Schizosaccharomyces pombe: one gene and its partners. Changing the gene in region 1 together with any one later gene gives a genetic interaction. Each region holds a gene or a part of one and is shown on either strand. Other genes may lie near its edges. The genes, in order: wsp1, bzz1, aip1 and myo1.

Region 1 (4,960 bases):
TGCCATTCATGAACGGAACGAAAAGGTCAGTAAAGTTTCAGAGATGATTGAGCAAGAGCTTGAATTACTCGGTGGAACAGCAATTGAAGATAAACTTCAAGAGAATGTACCAGAAACTATCGCTCTTTTGGCTATTGCTGGAATTAAGTTGTGGGTGTTGACTGGTGATAAGGTAGAAACGGCAATCAACATTGGGTATTCATGCAATCTTCTTGATCCAAACATGACTATTTTTCGAATTGATGCAAACTCTTTCGGTGCCTTAGAAGAAGTAGAAGCTTTTATTAGAAACACATTATGCTTTAATTTTGGATACATGGGAACGGATGAAGAATTCAGATTTTTGTTGAAAGACCACAGTCCGCCATCTCCGAAACACGCCATAGTTATTGATGGGGATGCCCTGAACTTTGTTTTGTCTGAACAGGTCTCTTTTCTTTTTTTAATGTTATGTAAGCAGTGTAAGACAGTTTTGTGCTGCAGGGTTAGTCCCTCTCAGAAGGCAGCTGTTGTTGCTTTAGTCAAGAAGAGTCTAAATGTTGTCACTTTAGCAATTGGAGATGGCGCTAATGATGTTTCGATGATTCAAGAAGCCGACGTTGGAGTAGGGATAAAAGGCGTTGAAGGGCAAGCAGCTTCAATGTCGGCGGATTATGCCATCGGTCAATTTTCTTTCCTAGGGCGACTACTTCTAGTTCATGGACGATGGGACTATAAAAGAATGTCTCAAATGATTTCATTCTTTTTTTACAAAAATGTTATTTGGACATTTATACTTTTTTGGTATCAATTTTATAACGAGTTTGATGGAAACTACATATTTGATTATACCTACGTGATGCTTTTTAATCTGCTGTTCACATCACTACCCGTAATTATTGCAGGTTGTTTTGACCAGGACGTTGACGCATCTGTTTCAATGAAAAATCCAAGCTTATACCAACGGGGAATTTTAGGTCTAGAATGGAACGGAAAGAGATTTTGGTAAGTATAACTCTGAAGATTTCTGTTTGCTAAATATTTATTTTAGGTCTTACATGCTAGATGGAATATATCAATCATTGGTATGCTTTGGGGTAGCTCTATTTGTTTTTAAGTTTGGTGATTTTGTAAGTTGGACTGGAAGGAACATCGAGTGTATAGAAGACATAGGACTTTTTATATCCTCTCCTACTATTTTTGTAATCAACATTTTTATATTGATGAATCAAGAGAGATTGAATTTAATATCACTTATTACTTGGATGTTCAGCATAGGTGTATTTTGGATATGGACATTTATTTATTCAGAAGTTGGCCCCTCTTACGCTTTCCACAAATCAGCTTCGCGAACTTGTCAAACTTTTGGCTTTTGGTGTGTTACTGTTTTAACCATTGCCTTATGTTTGTTGCCTCGCTTTTCCTATATTTGCTTACAAAAATTGTTTTATCCTAGAGATATTGACCTTTTACGGAGACGACTTTGTGCAAAGTCAGATGATGAGACTAGCAGTAGTTCATCATTTGCAACAGATATAGAAATGTGCGAACAATGTAACGACCCATTAAGTTCGAAAAAAAATTCCGGTATTGTTACTTCAGTTTCATTCGATGATTCTAATAAGTAGCCATACATCTGAGTTCGCACTGTTTGTTTATGTAGTTATACTACTCCTACCGGACGAGAGTCTTTTTATTATCCTCAACATCACGAATGACTTTTTCTTAATGTTCCCTTTTTTTTCTAATAATTAATGATTATGATTAAGTCATTTTTTTAATAATCTTATAATAAACTAACATTATGAGACAAGCAAACTTCGTATGGTTGAATAAATTTTATTTACCTCTTTACAATGAGGACGATAAGTATGTAGAATGTAAAAAATATTAAACCCGAATTAATGTCTCAAGTTTTATTAATCTATAAACAGTTAATATAATTAGCAAAATTTACCAGCTGCTAATAAGTGCGTTGCAAATTTTTATAGTACATAGCGTAGTATAGTATACTACACTAATTATCACTCATTGGCTTGTTAACTACAGTGAAAATGCTAACAAACGGGAGGAACCAAAACACCACTTATACCACTGTGAGACAGCAATTTTTGAATTGCATTACAATCCGAAAATTCAAATGCCTCCATCTTCCTCTATAACTCAAGAGGATAAGGCAACTATCCGTAAATACATACCTAAAAGCACAAATAAAATCATTGCAGCAGCCGTCGTCAAGCTATATGTAGCTTATCCTGATCCGAACAAATGGAATTATACAGGTCTTTGTGGTGCTCTTGTATTGTCCTATGATACAACAGCAAAATGCTGTTGGTTTAAACTGGTTGACGTTGTGGTATGTGTATGAAGCTTTGATACTCAAAGCAAACTACAAAGAGTGGTATACAATTTAATTGAATTATAACCTTCTAACGTTTTAGAATAATAGTGGTATAATATGGGACCAAGAGCTTTATCAAAATATGGACTATCGCCAAGATCGTACATTTTTTCATTCTTTCGAGCTTGATAAATGCCTAGCAGGTTTTAGTTTTGCAAACGAGACAGACGCTCAAAAATTTTACAAAAAGGTTTTAGATAAAGGTTGCCATCCTGAATCAATTGAGAATCCGGTTTTGTCATTTATTACCAGAAAAGGTTCTTCTAGACATGCGCCTAACAACAGCAATATCCAACCTCCCTCAGCTGCTCCTCCTGTACCTGGAAAGGAAAATTATAATGCTGTTGGATCTAAAAGTCCCAATGAGCCCGAGCTTTTAAATTCGCTTGATCCGAGCTTAATTGATTCTCTAATGAAGATGGGCATTTCCCAGGATCAAATTGCTGAAAACGCAGATTTCGTCAAAGCGTACCTTAATGAATCAGCTGGTACACCTACCAGTACTTCTGCACCTCCCATCCCTCCAAGCATTCCTTCCTCTCGTCCCCCAGAGCGTGTTCCTTCTTTGTCTGCACCTGCTCCTCCCCCAATTCCACCTCCATCTAATGGAACTGTCTCTTCTCCTCCTAACTCCCCTCCCCGTCCTATCGCTCCTGTTTCGATGAATCCTGCTATTAATTCCACCTCGAAACCTCCACTCCCTCCACCATCTTCAAGAGTCAGTGCGGCAGCTCTAGCTGCTAACAAAAAACGACCTCCTCCGCCTCCGCCTCCATCCCGTCGTAATCGTGGTAAACCACCGATTGGTAATGGTTCTTCTAACTCGTCTCTTCCTCCACCTCCACCACCTCCTAGATCTAATGCTGCTGGCTCAATTCCTTTGCCGCCTCAAGGTAGATCTGCTCCTCCTCCACCTCCTCCAAGGTCTGCTCCTTCCACTGGGAGACAACCACCCCCTTTATCTTCATCTCGTGCAGTTTCAAACCCACCAGCCCCTCCTCCAGCTATTCCTGGTCGTTCTGCGCCTGCACTTCCCCCTCTTGGTAATGCATCACGAACAAGCACACCTCCTGTCCCTACACCTCCTTCTCTTCCTCCTAGTGCACCTCCATCTTTGCCCCCCAGTGCACCACCTTCTCTACCTATGGGCGCACCAGCTGCTCCCCCCCTACCACCTAGTGCACCAATTGCTCCTCCTCTACCCGCTGGTATGCCAGCTGCTCCACCATTGCCTCCCGCTGCACCAGCTCCTCCTCCAGCTCCAGCTCCTGCGCCCGCCGCGCCTGTTGCTTCGATAGCTGAATTGCCTCAACAAGACGGCCGTGCTAATTTAATGGCCAGTATCAGAGCCAGCGGTGGTATGGATTTACTGAAAAGCAGGGTAAGTATTGATATTATTACTTAATGGTTACTCGTACTAATATTTTCCAGAAAGTATCTGCTTCTCCTAGTGTCGCATCTACAAAAACTTCGAATCCTCCGGTAGAAGCACCCCCTTCTAACAATCTTATGGATGCATTGGCAAGCGCTTTGAACCAACGTAAAACCAAAGTCGCTCAGAGTGGTATGTCCGGATTTCTCGTATTTTTTTTCAAAAGTTCTTAAGTTTACTAATTCTTTCAGACGAAGAGGATGAAGACGACGATGAGTGGGACTAGTTATTAATATCTTTGAAATTACCTATACTTTTTTGATTCACACAGTCTTTTAAAGTTTTGTTAAACGACTTCACTATTTTTATTTGGATTTGTGTTTATTGTATTAGAGCAAACACCATTTATTCTAAATTGAATAACGCGAATTTGTGTTGATATTACTATTCATATATCGCAACACAGTGTGTATCTTTACTTTATTGTAAGTATGGGAGCAGTCACACATTTCGGTACCACAACTTTAGAAACGTCAAGTTCAAGTCCTTCCACAACCAAAAACGTTTGGTCAAATAGAAACAAATGGATCCCTCCAAATTGGCTAAGTTGCAGGCTGGCGCTCGTATTGGTATGTTCGAATGCATCCCCGTGTTTTGAAGTTGACACCAGCTCTAAGAAATGCCTTGAACGGTTTCAAAGTGGTTCCACTGTAATTGATGCTGGCTATTGAAAACACAGTTGTACTTTTTTCATAGAGAACTGCTTAATTAACTTATCATTGTATAGGTGGAAAGGGTACCCCTCGTCGTAAGGTGAAGAAGCCTTCTAAGTCTGCCATGAGTGCTGCTGATGACAAGAAGGTTCAAGGTGCCTTGAAAAAGTTGAATATGCAAAACCTTGCTGGCATCCAAGAGGTTAACATGTTCAAGGAAGATGGCGGAGTCATTAATTTCCGTGCACCTACCGTTCATTCCTCGCTTCCTAATGAAACTACAGCTATCTATGGTAAAGCAGAGGAAAAGACTTTGTCTGAGATTTTGCCTGGCATTTTGAACAACCTTGGTCCTGAATCCTTGACTGCCCTTCGTCAAATGGCTGAGCAATTAAAGGTCAGTGAAGGTGAAAAGGGAGCTGATGCACAAGCCGACGATGGAGAAATTCCTGACCTTGTCGAAAAGTTTGACGAACAAGATTAAATAAGCAACAA
Region 2 (5,135 bases), on another chromosome or scaffold:
CTGTTGACGAGGAGTCCATTCCCAAAGAGGAGCGCATCCCCCGTTTCACCGCTGCATCATGGAAATATAAGTCGGGTGCAGTTGGTATTCTCGCTCATAGTATCATTTTACAAGGAACGAATTATGACACTTGTCTAGAGCTTCAAGCAGATGGTCATTATGTTCGTATGGTTGACTTTTACGGTCAACCCAGACTTTACATTCGTTCTCCTGAGGCTGATAGCGAACGCATTATTAATTTCCCCGAAGATGATCCCTATTATAATGAATTTGATGCTTTCTTGGGTGTTGTCCAGGGCAGATATCCTCCTAGCCGCATTTTGTCCAAGTTTGACGACGGCGCTAAGACATACGAGTTGACGAAGATCATTACGAATAATTAAAGTATAGAAGAATTGAACACACAACTTTTTTTTCCTTATATTTTCACCATTTTGGCTTTTTTCTCTTTTTCGTTACCTTTCATGAAAGTTTTCCCTTCGTTATCGGGAATGTTTTTAGACTTAGTTCCAATATCACATGTCGTTTATATGTTTGTTTCAATTTGCAGATTACTTTTGAAAATGTACGATGACATATCACATCCTTCGATTCCTCTCTGTTGTAATGACAATGTGTTTGTATGTATTCGTTAAAAAATTGTTGATCAATTTTCTCGTAACGCGAAACTGTATTCTTCAGTAAACATAAATTTTGGTTACTAACGAAAAAAATATAGCATAGTTCAATTTAAAAAATTTTCCTTAGGCATAGCATTTAGTATAGTTATTATAAATATCTAAAATTCAAAAAAAAAAAGATCAATCTAGCAAAAAAATACTTTGGTGTATCGACCAACTACATTGTAGTGGATAAAAAATCGTAAGTTATTATTGACAATTTGCTTTTCGTAATACATAAAGAAGGTAAAATTTATCAACAATGAAGTAGATAATATTCATATAGATATTTCAATGGTTTATACATCTGTAACATAACTAAGACATATGTTAGTTTTTGTGCAAAGAAATGGAGAAATGAATAAAAAAAAAAAACAAAGACTTACTTAGCTGGGAATTGACCGGTCACTCCATTAAGTATCCCTTCAGACCATCCGTTTCCAGCGTTTCGATTTGTGACCTGAATTATATCACCCTCTTGGATTGATAATTCCATATCGGATTGAGCTGTGTATGCATATAACGCCTTAACATAAGAAGAATCTCCATCAAGTGTCACACTCGTATTTAATTCATCATTCAATTTAACATAAGAAGCTGGAATCAAGCCATCAGTTCCATCGATTTTTACTCGAACCCAACCAGAGCCATCTATATTGATCTATTAGAATGGGATTTTTCAAGCTTTACTTACCATCTGGTTCAAGTAGCGTAAATTCCTGTCCTTCAGAAGCTGTGATTACCCCTTCATGTTCCCCGGTAAAATCGTAAAGAACTACACCGTCAACCTTTGACGCTGGTTCAGCAGGCGTTGTTTCTTCTGTTTTCACGTTGCTTAAGGAAGTTTGATAAATACTACTTGAATCCATATCATCTGTGTATGTGTTACGATAGGATTCATAGGCATTTGAAGACGACGCAGAAGCATCAAAATCATCAGTGGCAGTAACACTGGTATCTACAGCATCATCGTCGGCCACTTCGGGCTCACCATTTTTGCAGTTGGCGGGAACAAGAAGTTCACACCTTGCATGGCATTTGAAGCCACAATCTACACGTGTTTTGTTAGTTAACGAAAGAAAGCAAATATTTCGTACTTTTGCAAACACATCCACGCTTCGATAACCCCCAAATAATTTCACGACAGTAACTGCAACTTGTCGGAAGTTTAAAACTAACATGTTTGAAATCATGAAAACGACCTCCTTCTTCTAAATTATTCGCAACTGACGTGATCTTGTTGATACGAACCTCTAAATCTTCTATTCTGGCCTTTACCATGAGCTCTTTCCCTTCTAGATTTATCGAAGCCTTTTTAGATTCAAATGACTGGTTAGCACTATTTGGATCATCGACGCGTAAACCTTCCAATTGTGAATCTAACGATACAAGCTCGCCTTTCTGTTTTCCAAGGTCATTTTTGGAGTGGACCAGTAAATTTCGGAGGTAGTTTTTACATGAACCATCCACCACCAGTGCATCCGTGTCATGCCAGATAGGACTAGGTTCAAAATGCAAGTCAGCAGGAAGTGCCCAATTCTTTGAATTGTGCCTTCCGAACATGGCAGAATCAAGGACTGGTTCATTTTTTGCAATTTCTGATTGAATTTCAACGGTTCTTTGGGATAAGGTATCATGGAGAGACTTTTCAATTGAAAAGCTGTTACACCATATTTCATTTAAATTCGAAACCCTGTATTCGTTCAATACTTGCATATGATTAAGGAGCGTTGGTAGAGTTTCATTATAAAACTTTTGCTTGTGGGCGTTGTATACAAGCATACGAAGTAGGTATTTATTTTTCTTATCGAGCATATCACTTTCAGATAATTTTAAATTTCTTTGAGTTTTTTGCTCTCGATATTTATCGTTTTTTTGCCTTGCGCTTTCTAAATCATCGCAGGCCTCATGGTAACTGACCTTGGCTCTCTTCACACTGTTTAACAATGTCTCCTTTTCGGATGAGAATTTTTTATATAAATCATCATAAACTTTTCTTAAAGCCTCTATATGAGACTCTAGTTTCTTCAGTTTTTCAGCAATGTCCAATGAATAGTCATCGGATAGCTTTTGATGAGTTTTTGATGAGCGCGTTAACTCATCCAAAATTTTAGACCATGTTGTTAAAGAAGCACTATAAAATTAGCCTGTGAACAGGAATTCAATATCCATCTAACTTCAATTGCTTGACAGGTTCCAATATTTTACATACCATTCTAAAGAGCCAGCAGACATTGCCGGAGTATCTCCGACTGAAAGGGCTGATGATTTTCTGGATTTCTTCTCCCCATATTTATTCGAAAGACTGGCTAATTTCTGAGCATATTCTTTTTCTAGCAACAAAGTTAGTCATTGAAATTTAACCATTGTCGTTTCTTATTTACCAATAGAACTTCTTTCTTTGTAGTACAATTGAATATCTTCAAGCCATTTCGCGCCATTATTAATCTTTGTTACAATGTGTTAATTGTTGAACTGTCTTCATTTTCATTCTTGGCATACCCAACTGTCGACAACTTTAAAATCGTCCTTTTATATATTAGTAAATATGCCAAATAACTAAAACACCTTACGTGAAGTTCATCACTAAATTTGTATGTTTCCAGGCTCATTATCCAGTATTATCTACACGTTTGATATCGCTGCAATAAAAATTTGTACCGGATATAAAACAATTAAAAAGAAAGTTTGACGGAAGAAATTGTGACAATTTTTGGCTTTACGTTACGAATGTTGATGAAAAGGAAGTACGGTGGTGAATCGAAACCTATATTGTTCAACTTTCACTTAAGGAGTAACTTAGCAATCACCAACTACATTGCCCACCAGAAATTGTCATCCAGTTTGCTAAGTCATCCTTGCTGAGTTTGGATATCTGAACTATAAATTTGATTTTTTTTATTTTTTTTACTAAAAAACATCCAAAATGTCAACTACACTGGGACAGGAAAGCAAAACTGACTGGGCTAGTTTGGACTCTGATGAAGAGGTTCAAAGAATTAGTGATAAAGTCAATCAGTTAAATACTTCAGAAAATAAAAATGAAGATCAAAAAGCAACAAATTTAAGTGACAGATTAGGTCCAAAAATCACTGAGAATGTTGATGCAAAATCTGAGCAAGACAAAGCGACCAACACGATTGCAGAGGACGCCAATACGAAGCAATCTGAAAATGATGAATCTAATTTAATACCAAATAAAAACGAGGTTCGTGTAAAATTAGCAGATCTACAGGCTGATCCAAACTCACCTCTTTTTTCTGTTAAAAGTTTTGAAGAGTTGGAGCTCAAGCCCGAATTATTAAAGGGAATTTATTCAATGAAATTCCAAAAACCCTCAAAAATTCAAGAGAAGGCGCTTCCACTTTTACTCTCAAATCCTCCTCGCAATATGATCGGACAATCACAATCCGGAACTGGTAAAACCGCTGCATTTGCATTAACGATGCTTTCTCGTGTTGATGCTTCTGTTCCCAAACCTCAAGCTATCTGCCTCGCTCCTTCTCGTGAATTGGCCCGTCAGATTATGGATGTCGTGACGGAGATGGGCAAATATACTGAAGTAAAAACAGCTTTTGGTATTAAAGACTCCGTCCCTAAAGGTGCAAAAATCGATGCTCAAATTGTAATCGGAACGCCTGGCACTGTGATGGATTTGATGAAGAGAAGACAGCTTGACGCTCGCGATATTAAAGTATTCGTGTTAGATGAGGCAGACAACATGTTAGATCAGCAAGGATTAGGAGATCAATCTATGCGTATCAAGCACCTTCTTCCTAGAAACACTCAGATTGTTCTTTTCAGTGCTACCTTTTCGGAACGCGTTGAAAAGTACGCTGAACGTTTTGCTCCCAATGCTAATGAAATTCGTCTGAAGACTGAGGAGCTTTCTGTTGAGGGAATCAAGCAGTTGTATATGGATTGCCAAAGTGAAGAACATAAATATAATGTTTTAGTGGAATTATATGGGTTATTGACTATTGGTCAATCAATTATATTTTGTAAGAAAAAGGATACCGCTGAAGAAATTGCTAGGCGTATGACTGCAGATGGACACACTGTTGCTTGTCTTACCGGTAATCTGGAAGGTGCACAACGTGACGCTATTATGGATTCATTCCGAGTAGGTACTTCAAAGGTTTTGGTTACTACGAATGTAATTGCTCGGGGTATCGACGTATCGCAAGTCAACTTGGTTGTAAACTATGATATGCCTTTAGATCAAGCAGGAAGACCCGATCCACAAACATATCTTCACCGTATAGGTCGTACCGGTAGGTTCGGCCGTGTTGGAGTAAGTATCAATTTTGTTCACGATAAAAAGAGTTGGGAAGAAATGAACGCCATTCAAGAATACTTCCAACGTCCCATCACGCGAGTGCCTACAGATGACTACGAAGAGCTTGAAAAAGTTGTCAAGAATGCACTTAAAATGTAAAGCATGTTGATTTTTAGAGATTATTTAATACATAGGTT
Region 3 (4,894 bases), 2.9 Mb from region 1:
TATGAGAGTTAAAGCTGTTATGCCTGCTAATAATCGTGCTGCGGTGCTAAGGATATACGCTGGTCGCTTAGGAGTCTCTAGTCCCGTGAGGACTGCACCTCATCCTATGGCAATGTCTCTTCCATTTGTACATCATGGCAAAAATAAAGCTCTAGAGTTTGTGACTCGTCATCCTGTACCACATTGTCCATCGGTTGATTTGTATATTAATTCCCCCCAATGTGGTACATTGCATTCTGGTGTTGAATACAAATTTAATGTTTCGGCCTATGCCTGCCAGCCATCTACCTCCATTAGCAATACCAGATTAGCAATACAGACCCCGACGGGAAACATTGTGCGTTTAAGAGAAGAACGATCTGGAAATGGCGTTATTTTTTTCAGCCTTTCCTTAACAATTAATGAAACAGGAGAATACAGAGCTTTAATTTTGGCTGAAAAGATAGGAAGATGGGTAGTCTATGCAACCTGGCAGGCGGTTTAAATAATTTCAAATCTTGCGACTTTATCCTATAAATTTTCCTATAAATAATGTCTGTTCTGTGTAATATTGAAGGTTGATGTTTACAACTAAGTCATTATTCATTTAATGTTTTTAATATATATCTATTACTATTGGAATCGTGATGTCCAAGCTTAACTGTATTCCCTTTGTTTCTTAATTTTAATGATTATAATAATGAGAAAGTTTTAACTATTAGATATGGCATCAGAAAAGCTAACAGTATCTTACAAAAAAAATTTTTTTATTAAAATCTTGCAAAAAATGAGAATTGTACTACGAATTCAAAAGGTCACTGACCATACTTTGATTGCAGCATCACTTCCAGTACTTAAAAGCTCATTTTCAGAAACCCATTCAACTTGGGTAGCTCCCAATGAGTGAGCATTTTTCATCGCAATATATTTCATGGGTCGTTCTACTGAATAAATGTGAATGTTGGTGTCTAATGAAGCGGTCGCTAAATGAGTAGATTTTGCATTCCACGACATTCCTAGAATACGGCCAGTGTGAAACGCCCAGCGAGAAGTAATAACTTCCCGAGAATTGGCGTCATAAAGTACAACCTTCCCTGAGGCATCACCACATGCAAGATACTTTCCATCCGGAGAGTAAGCTAAGCATGTAATCGGTGCTGTTGAATCTTTGCATTGAGCTACTTCACAAAGCTCACCTTTTTCAAGGGTATGGATGTATACACAACAGTCCTAAAAAAGTCAATAATTATATGGAAATTAAAATATGGTATCATACCTCCCCTCCAACGCAAAATTCACTTTTTAAGGGATGCGAAGCAACTGCGCTAGGCTGATAAATAGTCTTGGCTGTAGAAACACCAGTAAGACTACGGAGGACTTGGATATCCGAAACCGTTACCAAAATCAAACAGTCTTCAACCGAGCATACGCCAATAGGTTGGTAGCCAGTTGGAAAAACATTATCTTTCGCGAAACACCCTTGCTTGATATCGATTACCCTTAACGTGTCATCCATGCCAATGGTGATAACATGGTCATCAGCCATTATCATTTGCATGACTTGATTGGTATGACTTTCACCAACCAAAGGGAATGCTTTCTGTTTGCCGATATCCCATGAAAGAACAGTACCATCATATGAGGCAGTATAAAAATGGGTAGCATCAGGTGAAAGTGTAGCGGCAGTGATAGAGCGTTGGTGTCCGTAAATTGTATCAATTACCTTACAGTCCGAAGGATTTAGATATGTTAAGTTTCCCTTTGAGTTAACAACTATTATTAGGTCTTTAGTTGGCCAAACTGTTCCAACTAATTGCTTCTTGTCCGACGAAAGCCATTCGCGAATTAGGGAGCCGGTATTAGCATCCCATATTTTGCAACTGTAACCCGCAGAAGATGTGACAAATTGAGATGAATCTGGAGACCAAGAAATAGAGAAAATGGACCCCTTATGAGCATCAATTTCATAGACCTGATCTCCTGTTTTCCCGTCGAAAACATAAACCTTACCGTCGGCTCCAGCTGAAGCAAATCTTTCATCGTTAGGAGAGTAACGGACATCATAAACGAATTTGGAGTGAACGCGTAAACTTCGGTTGAATCTATAAGGAGTACCGTGAAAAAAATTGATGGAATTATCATCAGATGCAGTAGCAGCACGGAACGGTCTACTCTTGCGCAAAGAAACAGCATTCACTACGCTCGAATGTCCAAAAATCTGTAACCGTTAACATTTTAAGGAAGTTGGAGACTAATAAAACCCTTACTTCACCAACAGAATTACCAGAGTCAGCGGTGAACGCGTGTCCATATCTGTTAAAAGTAAGATTAGCAAGAGTCAACAAATATTGGAATTTTTGAAATTATGAGTAAATCCAATAATTTAACACATCCTTCGAAAACAATAGAAATCACTTACCGCTCTTTACCCTCACCAACAGCTATTATTCTCTGACTGTCTCCGTCTTTTCATCAATTAGCATATTGAAACTTGAACAGGCTTACCCCAGTCTAAATCAGTAATTCGTCCGCTAATAGCAGTAACTTGGTTCTTTAAAATTTTATCTTCTCCAGCACAATCCCATATGCGGACGTTACCTTGATTGTCTATAGTTGATCATTAGTAACGTTTAAAAATAAAAACTTAAGAAATAATAGCAATAATTAGCATTCGTACCGCCAGAAGCTACATAATATCCAGAAGGGCTAAATCGTGCTACAGTTGTAGGAGCAGTATGCTCATTATATTGAAAGCAGTTTTCCTGTTTCTCAATTTCACGAATTATTATCGCTTTGTTAGCCTAAAAACTATTTAGTAAATGTTCTTTAATCGACCAATTCATACGGATTCGACAAACTTACGGGATAAACAATCCTTTCACCTTTAAAATCAGTGCCAATTTTACAAGGCTGTGAAGGTTTTGTTGAAGGAACTGGCGCCCAAGTTGATTTTAACTGAGAAGACATTGCTCTGTTTTTAATTTATTGTAAGTAGCGAAGATGTGGTTCTATGCAGATGGAGCGTGCTACTAGGAGATATTTGACAATGAAACGAGCAACAGATTACCATATTAAAGAGGCGTATACTTTAGCAGTACATGTCATTGGAATATATGATTTATATAGGGATTAATTTTAATACTACCGTAGAAATCACTTTTTGCAACAATACACAGAAGAACGTTTTTATACTAATGCGGTCAAATAATAACCTAAAACAGTACAATATGACTTTAACGAACATGAATATCAAAATGAAAATTGATGAGTAATTAAAGAAGTAGATATCATGAAAAAAATTTAAGCAAAATTAAAATATCAGTTACTTTGCTTCTTTGAATTTTTCTTACTACGGTTAAGTTCCTTGAGCTTTTTATAATGAGAATTAGGTCGAATGGTTGAAGCTGAAGTAGTAGCAACAGCTCGTCTTGATACATCCTTCTGCAATTGCTCATACTGAGTTTTAAAACCGTCACGAACTCCTTTGTAAAACTCTTTTAAGGATTTAATAGGGTTTGTAATCAAAGTAAAGCCTGAAGGTTGCTTTTCTATTATTGATGGTAGCGGAGCGAAGCCAAGTTTACTTCGAACAACGGGATTTTTTAGAATATAACCTTGCACTATATTAAACAGACTGCTGGGTATCCAATACATAAATATTGCCTATTTGATCTTTGGTTAGTTATTCTTCTAAGATAAAGGCTTAAAACAGATTTGACTATTTTGAAAATTCACGTACGGCTGGAAGTTTAGCAGTTAAGAGAGGGCTTAAAAGACAGCACAAAAAGAAAAAAGTTCTCCAGTTGGTAGAATTCCCTATAGTAGATGCAGTATTTGCACGATTCATCTGCATTCCAGAAAACATAAGTCCGGCATTAATAATGGGAAGAATGCAATAAGGATCAGGTATTGACAAATCTTTAAACCATGCAAGTCCTCCAGTGGTAAAACCGTCTACCGACAAACGAGACATCTTTCTAATTGCATAAAAAAAACTAAAGAAAACGGCACTCTGGGTCAAAGGAAGAATAAATATAGCAAAAGGATTAACATTGTGCTTTAAATATATGCCTCGCAAGGCAATGCTATGTTGATTTAAAGCAAGCTGATCATTATCCAGTTTTGCTGTTTTAATCGCCTCTAGTTCTTTTTTCATCTCAGGCTGTATAACGGACAGCTTCGTGCTATTACGAAATGAAGCTATCATAACTGGAGTAAGGGCCAAACGAACCCCCAAAGTTGTGAGTATGATAGAAACCCACCAAGGAGCTCCTGCATATACATTAATCGTGTAAGCAGTATTTTGGATTAGAGCATAAGGCCACCACGATGGGTTGAACCCAGAAGTAGCTGTACTAACTTCAGCGAGTACATTGGTAGAAGAGGGTCGAAATTGAAACCCCAATCTTTTTGATAGAATAGTTTTAGATTGTAATCTTTTTCTCAGAAAACTAGAAGTGGAGTTAAAATGGGGGCTTCCAGCGCATCGCCTAAATTGGTCAATTACCAAGCATTCAATATATCAAGTTTTTATAGTTTTTTTGTAAACACTTACGTTGAAGGTCTAATTAGAAAATGTAACATTGCTTCAACTAATAGTTTATAATTCGAGATTAACTAGTCTTCAAAAATAGATTAGTCCATATGATAATATATATTATACGATCGGGAGAAGTTAAGTCGTCCTTCATATTCTTATACGGGTGGATTTAAGTGGACAAGGTGCTTGTGTTAAATCAATGATATACATTTATTGTTTGGATTTTTATTTTTTTATTTTTTTTTTTTTATTTGATAATATTTCGCCCAAACGAACGTGTTGCATTTCATTAAGTTTCTGGATTTTTCATGGTATGTGCATATTATTACGACAGTTTGACTATTTAGAACCAAATAAATGTTAGCAAAATAACAA
Region 4 (6,417 bases), on another chromosome or scaffold:
GGTTCTAGGGCGGCATTTCCGTTGAGACTTGCCCATGTTGATGAATATGTAAAAGAAGGAATTGCCCTTTGCGGGGACGCTGCTCATAACACTCATCCATTAGCTGGACAGGGATTAAATACTGGAATTCAGGATGTTGAATCTTTAATATCAGCACTCTCTTTTGCTATCAAGCACGGTCAGGATATTGGTAGTGTTTTTTCACTCCAACCGTATTTCCGTGACCGTTACTTCAAAAACCATGTTTATCTAGGAGTCGTTGATAAGTTCCACAAGCTGTACGCAATGGAAAATCCGGTGGTCACTTCTGTACGAACCCTTGGACTTTCATTATTTGATCGCAGTGCTAGCTTGAAAAACTTCATTCTTTCTACGGTAGCTAATGGAATTTAGTATTGTCGAAGTCTACTATACTATATTTACGTTTTACCACTGGAGCTGACTAATTTATTCAAACAATAAACAAGATAATGATTTTAATATTATTACAGAAGCTATCACTTTTGTCCCATTTATAAGTATACGCTATGCAATGTATCAACTATATTTCACAATTAAATTACTATTTAGCTTTGCTTAATCAAAGTCGTCGACGAAGAGTATTCTCAATCTATCACAATAAAACATGCAAGAAGCAAATACTAGAAGCTTTCATTGATAGCTAAAAAACATGCGATAGGAGAGACTATAGTTGTCACAAGCCATTCATTATTGCAAATTAAGAATCAAGCAATGTACTGGCCGTATTATATATACATCATAATGAAAGCTCACCAATCTTCTTCTTCATCACTACCACGCACAGCTGATGCTCGCATGCGCAAGGCATCAGCAAGTGAACCAGCTAAGTTGTTGACTTCAGCTGGACTAGCATTATTATTCGCTTGAGCTGCAACATTAGTCGAAGAAGCGGTGGTTTGAGGTGTAGAACCTTTGTATTCTGTCACATAGGTTGCGGGAACCCATCCTTCAGCACCATTCTTTAAAGCAAGCCACCACCCGCTTGGCTCCTTTTGAACAATTTCTATAATTTCGTCTTTCTTGATAGTCATTTCATTTGGACTGCGTCCCGCAAAGTCATATAAGGCCAAGTACAAGTCTTTCTTTTCGACTTCAGCGGGAGGAGGAGGAGGAGGAGGAGGAACAGCACTAGGCTTGCTGACGTTATTAGCAACTGGAGCAGAGGGTTTAGAGATATTGCTTGGAGAAGAAGCTGCAGAAGTTACCGTGGAAGGAGCTGGTTTAGAAGCAGAAACAGTGGTTGCTTGCTTAATAGTTGTAGTCGTACTTGTAACTGGGGCTGCAGCTTGAGTTGTATTAGGACGAGCTTGCATAGCAGGAGCAGGGGGACGATTTTGGGTTTGTTGAGCAGTACTTACGGGATTAGCCATAGGAGCAGGTTTGCTCTTCGCAGCCGGCATAGATACGGGCTTTGTAGCAGCAGGTTTGTTCTGCACAACTGGGCGAGGCCCTCTAGCAGCTGCTGTACTACCACCAGTTGCTAAGCGAGGGAAAGGCTTACTCTTACTGGTAGGAGGCAAGCCAGTACCAACATGAATAGTTCCACTCTTGTAGTAGTCATAATCCTTAGTGGTTTCGTCTTTTGCCGTCTTAACAGTTTGTACCTTGCCAGGCTTTCGGCAGTATTGAATGGTGGGACCCACGATAACTTGAATATTACGATTGATTCTCTTTAAGGTAGTTATAAATTCTGTTTTGAAAAAGCATCGCAAAAACATATCTCCATTTTGGCTGGACTTATTACGAATTGCAACCCAATCATCTTGCAAATTTGTAAGACCAACAGAATCGATGGAAGATACAGCGAACTTCTTCTCCACCTGTTGTGTGAGCTTTTGGTCAACAATTTTTGTAATCACCAAATATAAATTCTTTTTGGTAAGAACCAGTTGACGAGGAGAAGGTTTGGAAGTGCGGCCTAGCTTATGAACAAGGACCTCACATCTCATTGAGAAAATTACGTGATCGTTTTGAGAGAGGCCGCATGTGTTCCATAGAGTACCATTAGGCTTTGAAGCTGATAGATAATCTCCATAAAACTTACGGGATCCCAAAATACTATATCTTCTGCGTTGCTTTTTACCTTGCAAAAGTTTAGTACCCTCATTACGAACACGTTCAAGTTCCATGTTAACTTTGTTCCTATTCCACAACTTCTGAATACAAGCAGCAGCTTCAGATCTTCTTCTAACATAAGAACGCCAAGCACGTTGTATACGGGTTGCCATTGTATCCCAAAACTTATCACGCATGTCTTCGAGCGCGAATAAGGTCTCCGGATTTTTAATGAAAACTTTGCTAGTACCCATTTGGTATTCAGATGAAGGAATATTGGTATCTTTCAAAATCTGTTCGCAAGCAGACTTATCATCACCCTGCCAAGTGTATTCTCCTGCATAACTGGTTTTACCACTAAGAACTGCAAAACGCTGAGCAAACGTATCGAAAGCTTGACGATAAGCAAAACCAGCACGACGAATACGAATGTTTTCTTGCAAACCTAAATATTTGATTTGATGTAAAACCATCTGCTGATCGTAATCGTTAGGCGACTTAGTCTGATTGGGTTTAATCGTACGTATATACGATGGTTGACATTTCATAAGAGTCTCTACTAAATCATTAGCAGAAGTTTTGATACGATCACCAGCTGTAGGAGGACGACGACGGGAGTTACTCTCTTCAGCCACTGGGAAAATAGATTTCATGAACTCGTTGTTGGAAGAATGAATAAGGTTAAGAATATCAGTTGCTAACTGATCCTTATTCTTATCGGTCATTCCTGTAATGCTGTAGGTTACATCACCAGCGTAATGTTTGACTATAAATTGATTTTGTCTCTGTTCAAAATGTGGATTGGAGGATAAAAAGTTTAACCGCTGAGCAAAAGCACTATCCGCCGCAGCAGAGTCAGCATGAGCGGTAGCGATAGCGTCGTTCATTGCTGCGAAAAGACCAGGAGGTCGTTTGGATTCAATCAAATCACATACAACTTTATTGTTGAAATATTTGATAGGAGTCCAAGCAATTTGCTCACGCACGTATTCTTCCTGTTCAGTTTTCAAAGTAAGTTCTATAAAAATTTGTTGCAATTTTTCATTAACATAGTTAATGCACAATTGTTCAAAAGAGTTGTTTTCAAAGATTTCAAAGCCGTAAATATCTAAAATACCAATCGAATTGGAAACGCTGTTGTCTGATGTGACCAAAGCTTTGTTGACACGTTCGACAATCCAATCAAAAAGACAGTTATAAATCGCCATAGACAAAGCATCACGAACAGCCAAAGCTTGTGTTGGATTTAAGGGGACTTCATATACAGATCCGCGCCTTGCACCATGCTGAGTTTGCATAATACGAATTGTCAAGGCACGCTCAATAGCCGCAACAGGAACACCGATCAAATAGCCTAAAAATTCGGTGATGCTCTTGTCAGAAATCACGCTACCACCATCTTGGCCTTCTTGAAATTGAATATTTCCTAACCAAAGGATGATAGAAAGCATCCTAAATATTTCATCTTGCTCCGGCTCGGTGATACCAATAACCTTCATGGCGTTCATCGTTCCTTGGAAGTCCTTCTCATCTGAAATCCCATCAACCGACAAACATTGACAAGCAGAAGTGTAAACATAATTCTCCGGACCTTGAATGCCATATGTATCACGATATTTCTGAGGAGCGCTCTTGGTGAATTGATAGAAAATATGGAAATTACGCTCATTGCGAACTTGATTAACAATTCGGTTCTTTTCTAATAAGTAGTTCGTAATTTTAGCGCCGACAGGAACACCTCCGGAATTAAAAATCATTTCTAAATACTTTCCATGACGAGAAGAATTATTATTGCGAAGAGTTTTTGCACAACCAAAACTTTCCAATAAAGGATTGGTAGCTAAAATAATTTCGGAAACTCTTTCAATTTCAGTGCCAACGGACTTTGAAACATGTGTAATATATTGCATGATCCTTTTTGCAGCCTCAGTCTTACCAGCACCCGATTCACCAGAAATGATAATACATTGATTCTCATGATAAGACTTCATTTGATAGTAAGCGTTCTCAGCAATTGCATAAACGTGAGGGCTCGTTTCCAAACGGTTTTTTCCTTGATATGATTTCAAAATATCCATCGTATAAATACCCAGGTCTCGAAATGGATTTACAGAAATCAACACATGTCCAATATATGTATAAATCTCTCCATTGCGAAATCTCAGTTCCAAGTTTTTGTTAATTTCCTCATCTGTAATTTTCGAAAGTAGGGTTAAATCATCAACACCCACAGTCTTTTTGCGTGTGCTGGTATAAACAGCCTTTTTAATACCATTGCTTTTCCCAGTGCTATTGGGAGCAGCTGCAGTCGCAGCTTTCGCGCGGTTTGTTCTCTTAAGGATGGCCTAATTTATTAATTAGCTAACATTCGGCATGCATATTTACTTACCATAAAATCTATTCACTTATGGCCGAACAAGAGATAGGTTAACGACAAGTCCGCACTTACGTGTAGGTTTCTTCTAATACTGAGATAATTGCGTTACGGATCGTTAAAATGAGCGAAATATGAGTTTCTAGGTCAATATTGCCAAAGACCGTTCGAAACTTCAGACCCCAATTATTAAAATTGTACTTTAGCTGAAAATTGAATATACTTTAGCTTTCTGTCGTTTGCTTCATCCATTTTTGGTATTGACATTAAAACAATTACCTAGCCGAAAGAGGCTTGTTATGTAACATACTCGAACGAAACTTATCCAAATGTGTTTTAGGGTAACTTCATTAGGTAAGGTAACGAACACACTAAAGGTATGAAATTTGCGACTAATTATGATGAAGTGATAAACATAACGCGCTTGAATTAGTTAATACTTGATTTGATTATTGTGTGTTCATGTAGTCGATAAGATGAATTAAATGAACATGAATTTTCAATTATGAATATTTTAAGTCGAAGATACCTTTCATAAAGCGAGAAGTTTTGAAGTATTTTAGATATAACGGCTATCGCCGTTTCAAGAACCAAAGCAGCCGCAGATTATTATAACGCGACATAAAAGGTTGAATTCCCCAGCAAATACAACTGTAGTTCTCGTATTGACCTTGAGTATATTCTATGACAATTAACTTATTACAGATATTAGGATGTAACACAATATGAGAGAAGCTATATGATTTGCAGTAACTTAAACATAATCATCTGTTTATATCATTTATAAAAGAATACAAACAGTGATTTATAGACAACGTTTGTGAGTGCCATAATTAATTGAAATAACGGGGTTTATATATAATACCAAACTAAATGCACGAGATGAAAGCTAATCTACTTGCCTGTTACAGAGAAATACAAGGTACACAACTTTAGTAATGTCAGGATATCAAGTAGTGAGAACATGACAAGGCAGGCTCCTTTTAATTGCGAAATCGTAGAAATATCATAAGGAGCTAAATAAAGAACGGCAGGAAAGGTATTTACAACAAGAGTAATAAAACAGCGTATCAGATATCGATTTAGCGAAATATTAGACACATGATATACCTACTAAATCAGCATCCATAACAGCTTTCCCATTGTGAATTTAATCCATCAAGAAATTTAAAGAGTGGATAACATTCCTTATATAATTCTACTCTAAACAAATGCACCCAAGCTAAGGGCAATGCCTTGAGTTTTTGAACGAATGCGAACATGTCCTGAGATAGGACCGGAGACGGATTTTTCAACGCTAAGACTCATAAGTGCGTCTTCCCCAAAAATACTGCAGGCGTACAAATTAGCACTCAAAAAACCACAGTCACCACGCAGAGACGCGTCTGGAGTAAGACAGTTCATATTGGTTTTCTTCATTATTTTATGTAAGAAATCGTACAGACTAATGTCTTCGTTGGAAGAAATATCGACCTTGTTTTCCCATTCAAATTCCGTCCACATGCTACGGAATTGAGATTCGGGAATGAATGCGGGTTTTATATAATCAATAATGTTGACTGGAATGCCATTCAAAACAACAATTTTGTCTTCGTCGGATGCTTTACCACCATACACGATATTTCCAAAGATTACTGCAGACTCCGTTGAAGATACCTTTACCGTAGCCTGAACAGATTTAAAGGCATGAGGTCCTAAATTCATGGGTGGTGGACGCTCTACAACCTTAAGATCTCCCAACGTAGCCAAATCAACAGAGAGATTCTGTAACGTGGTATCCGTTCGATTAACCAATAATATGTCTAGAATAATATCAAATTGTTGTATCTTCACATATGCCTCACAGTAAACAGGATCTGTAAAACCGGCTAATTGTACGATATGATCTAATTTAGATGCCAAATCTTCCACTACCATACCATCGTTGGTGGCTTGTATGATGTCGGACTCAAAATTAAGATCCTGCT

Evidence for each region.
Region 2: of wsp1 (region 1) and bzz1, a mutation in one rescues a mutant of the other (synthetic rescue), as found in Schizosaccharomyces pombe (one study listed by BioGRID).
Region 3: of wsp1 (region 1) and aip1, a mutation in one rescues a mutant of the other (synthetic rescue), as found in Schizosaccharomyces pombe (one study listed by BioGRID).
Region 4: mutations in wsp1 (region 1) and myo1 are lethal when combined (synthetic lethality), as found in Schizosaccharomyces pombe (2 studies listed by BioGRID).

The regions. Positions count from the first base shown.
Region 1 is NC_003424.3:4,860,608-4,865,567, reverse strand, and holds wsp1 (actin assembly factor), read left to right. Parts: upstream 1-2,060; 5' UTR 2,061-2,119; coding exon 2,120-2,335; exon of another isoform or gene 2,336-2,420; coding exon 2,421-3,761; exon of another isoform or gene 3,762-3,811; coding exon 3,812-3,944; exon of another isoform or gene 3,945-4,003; coding exon 4,004-4,038; 3' UTR 4,039-4,315; downstream 4,316-4,960. Other genes in the region: SPOM_SPAC4F10.16C (P-type ATPase), read left to right, coding at 1-984, 1,031-1,607; btf3 (nascent polypeptide-associated complex beta subunit), read left to right, coding at 4,336-4,381, 4,540-4,949. UniProt on the Schizosaccharomyces pombe protein: Has a role in regulating actin assembly, so regulating polarized growth.
Region 2 is NC_003423.3:2,464,309-2,469,443, reverse strand, and holds bzz1 (diacylglycerol-binding protein Bzz1), read right to left. Parts: upstream 3,417-5,135; 5' UTR 3,272-3,416; coding exon 3,233-3,271; exon of another isoform or gene 3,189-3,232; coding exon 3,162-3,188; exon of another isoform or gene 3,108-3,161; coding exon 3,044-3,107; exon of another isoform or gene 2,993-3,043; coding exon 2,872-2,992; exon of another isoform or gene 2,794-2,871; coding exon 1,757-2,793; exon of another isoform or gene 1,711-1,756; coding exon 1,354-1,710; intron 1,311-1,353; coding exon 1,046-1,310; intron 978-1,045; coding exon 959-977; 3' UTR 705-958; downstream 1-704. Other genes in the region: SPOM_SPBC12C2.04 (NAD-binding dehydrogenase family protein), read left to right, coding at 1-383; ATP-dependent RNA helicase Dbp5, read left to right, coding at 3,586-5,097. UniProt on the Schizosaccharomyces pombe protein: Plays a role in endocytosis and trafficking to the vacuole. Functions with type I myosins to restore polarity of the actin cytoskeleton after NaCl stress.
Region 3 is NC_003424.3:1,974,954-1,979,847, reverse strand, and holds aip1 (actin cortical patch component Aip1), read right to left. Parts: upstream 2,992-4,894; 5' UTR 2,947-2,991; coding exon 2,842-2,946; exon of another isoform or gene 2,781-2,841; coding exon 2,657-2,780; exon of another isoform or gene 2,587-2,656; coding exon 2,485-2,586; exon of another isoform or gene 2,445-2,484; coding exon 2,399-2,444; exon of another isoform or gene 2,293-2,398; coding exon 2,247-2,292; exon of another isoform or gene 2,198-2,246; coding exon 1,256-2,197; exon of another isoform or gene 1,210-1,255; coding exon 787-1,209; 3' UTR 639-786; downstream 1-638. Other genes in the region: cytokinesis protein Cyk3, read left to right, coding at 1-484; translocase Oxa101, read right to left, coding at 3,298-3,642, 3,719-4,469, 4,535-4,563.
Region 4 is NC_003423.3:1,023,463-1,029,879, forward strand, and holds myo1 (myosin I myo1), read right to left. Parts: upstream 4,512-6,417; 5' UTR 4,469-4,511; coding exon 4,466-4,468; intron 4,422-4,465; coding exon 771-4,421; 3' UTR 501-770; downstream 1-500. Other genes in the region: monooxygenase Coq6, read left to right, coding at 1-393; coatomer beta subunit Sec26, read right to left, coding at 5,654-6,417. UniProt on the Schizosaccharomyces pombe protein: Type-I myosin implicated in the organization of the actin cytoskeleton. Required for proper actin cytoskeleton polarization.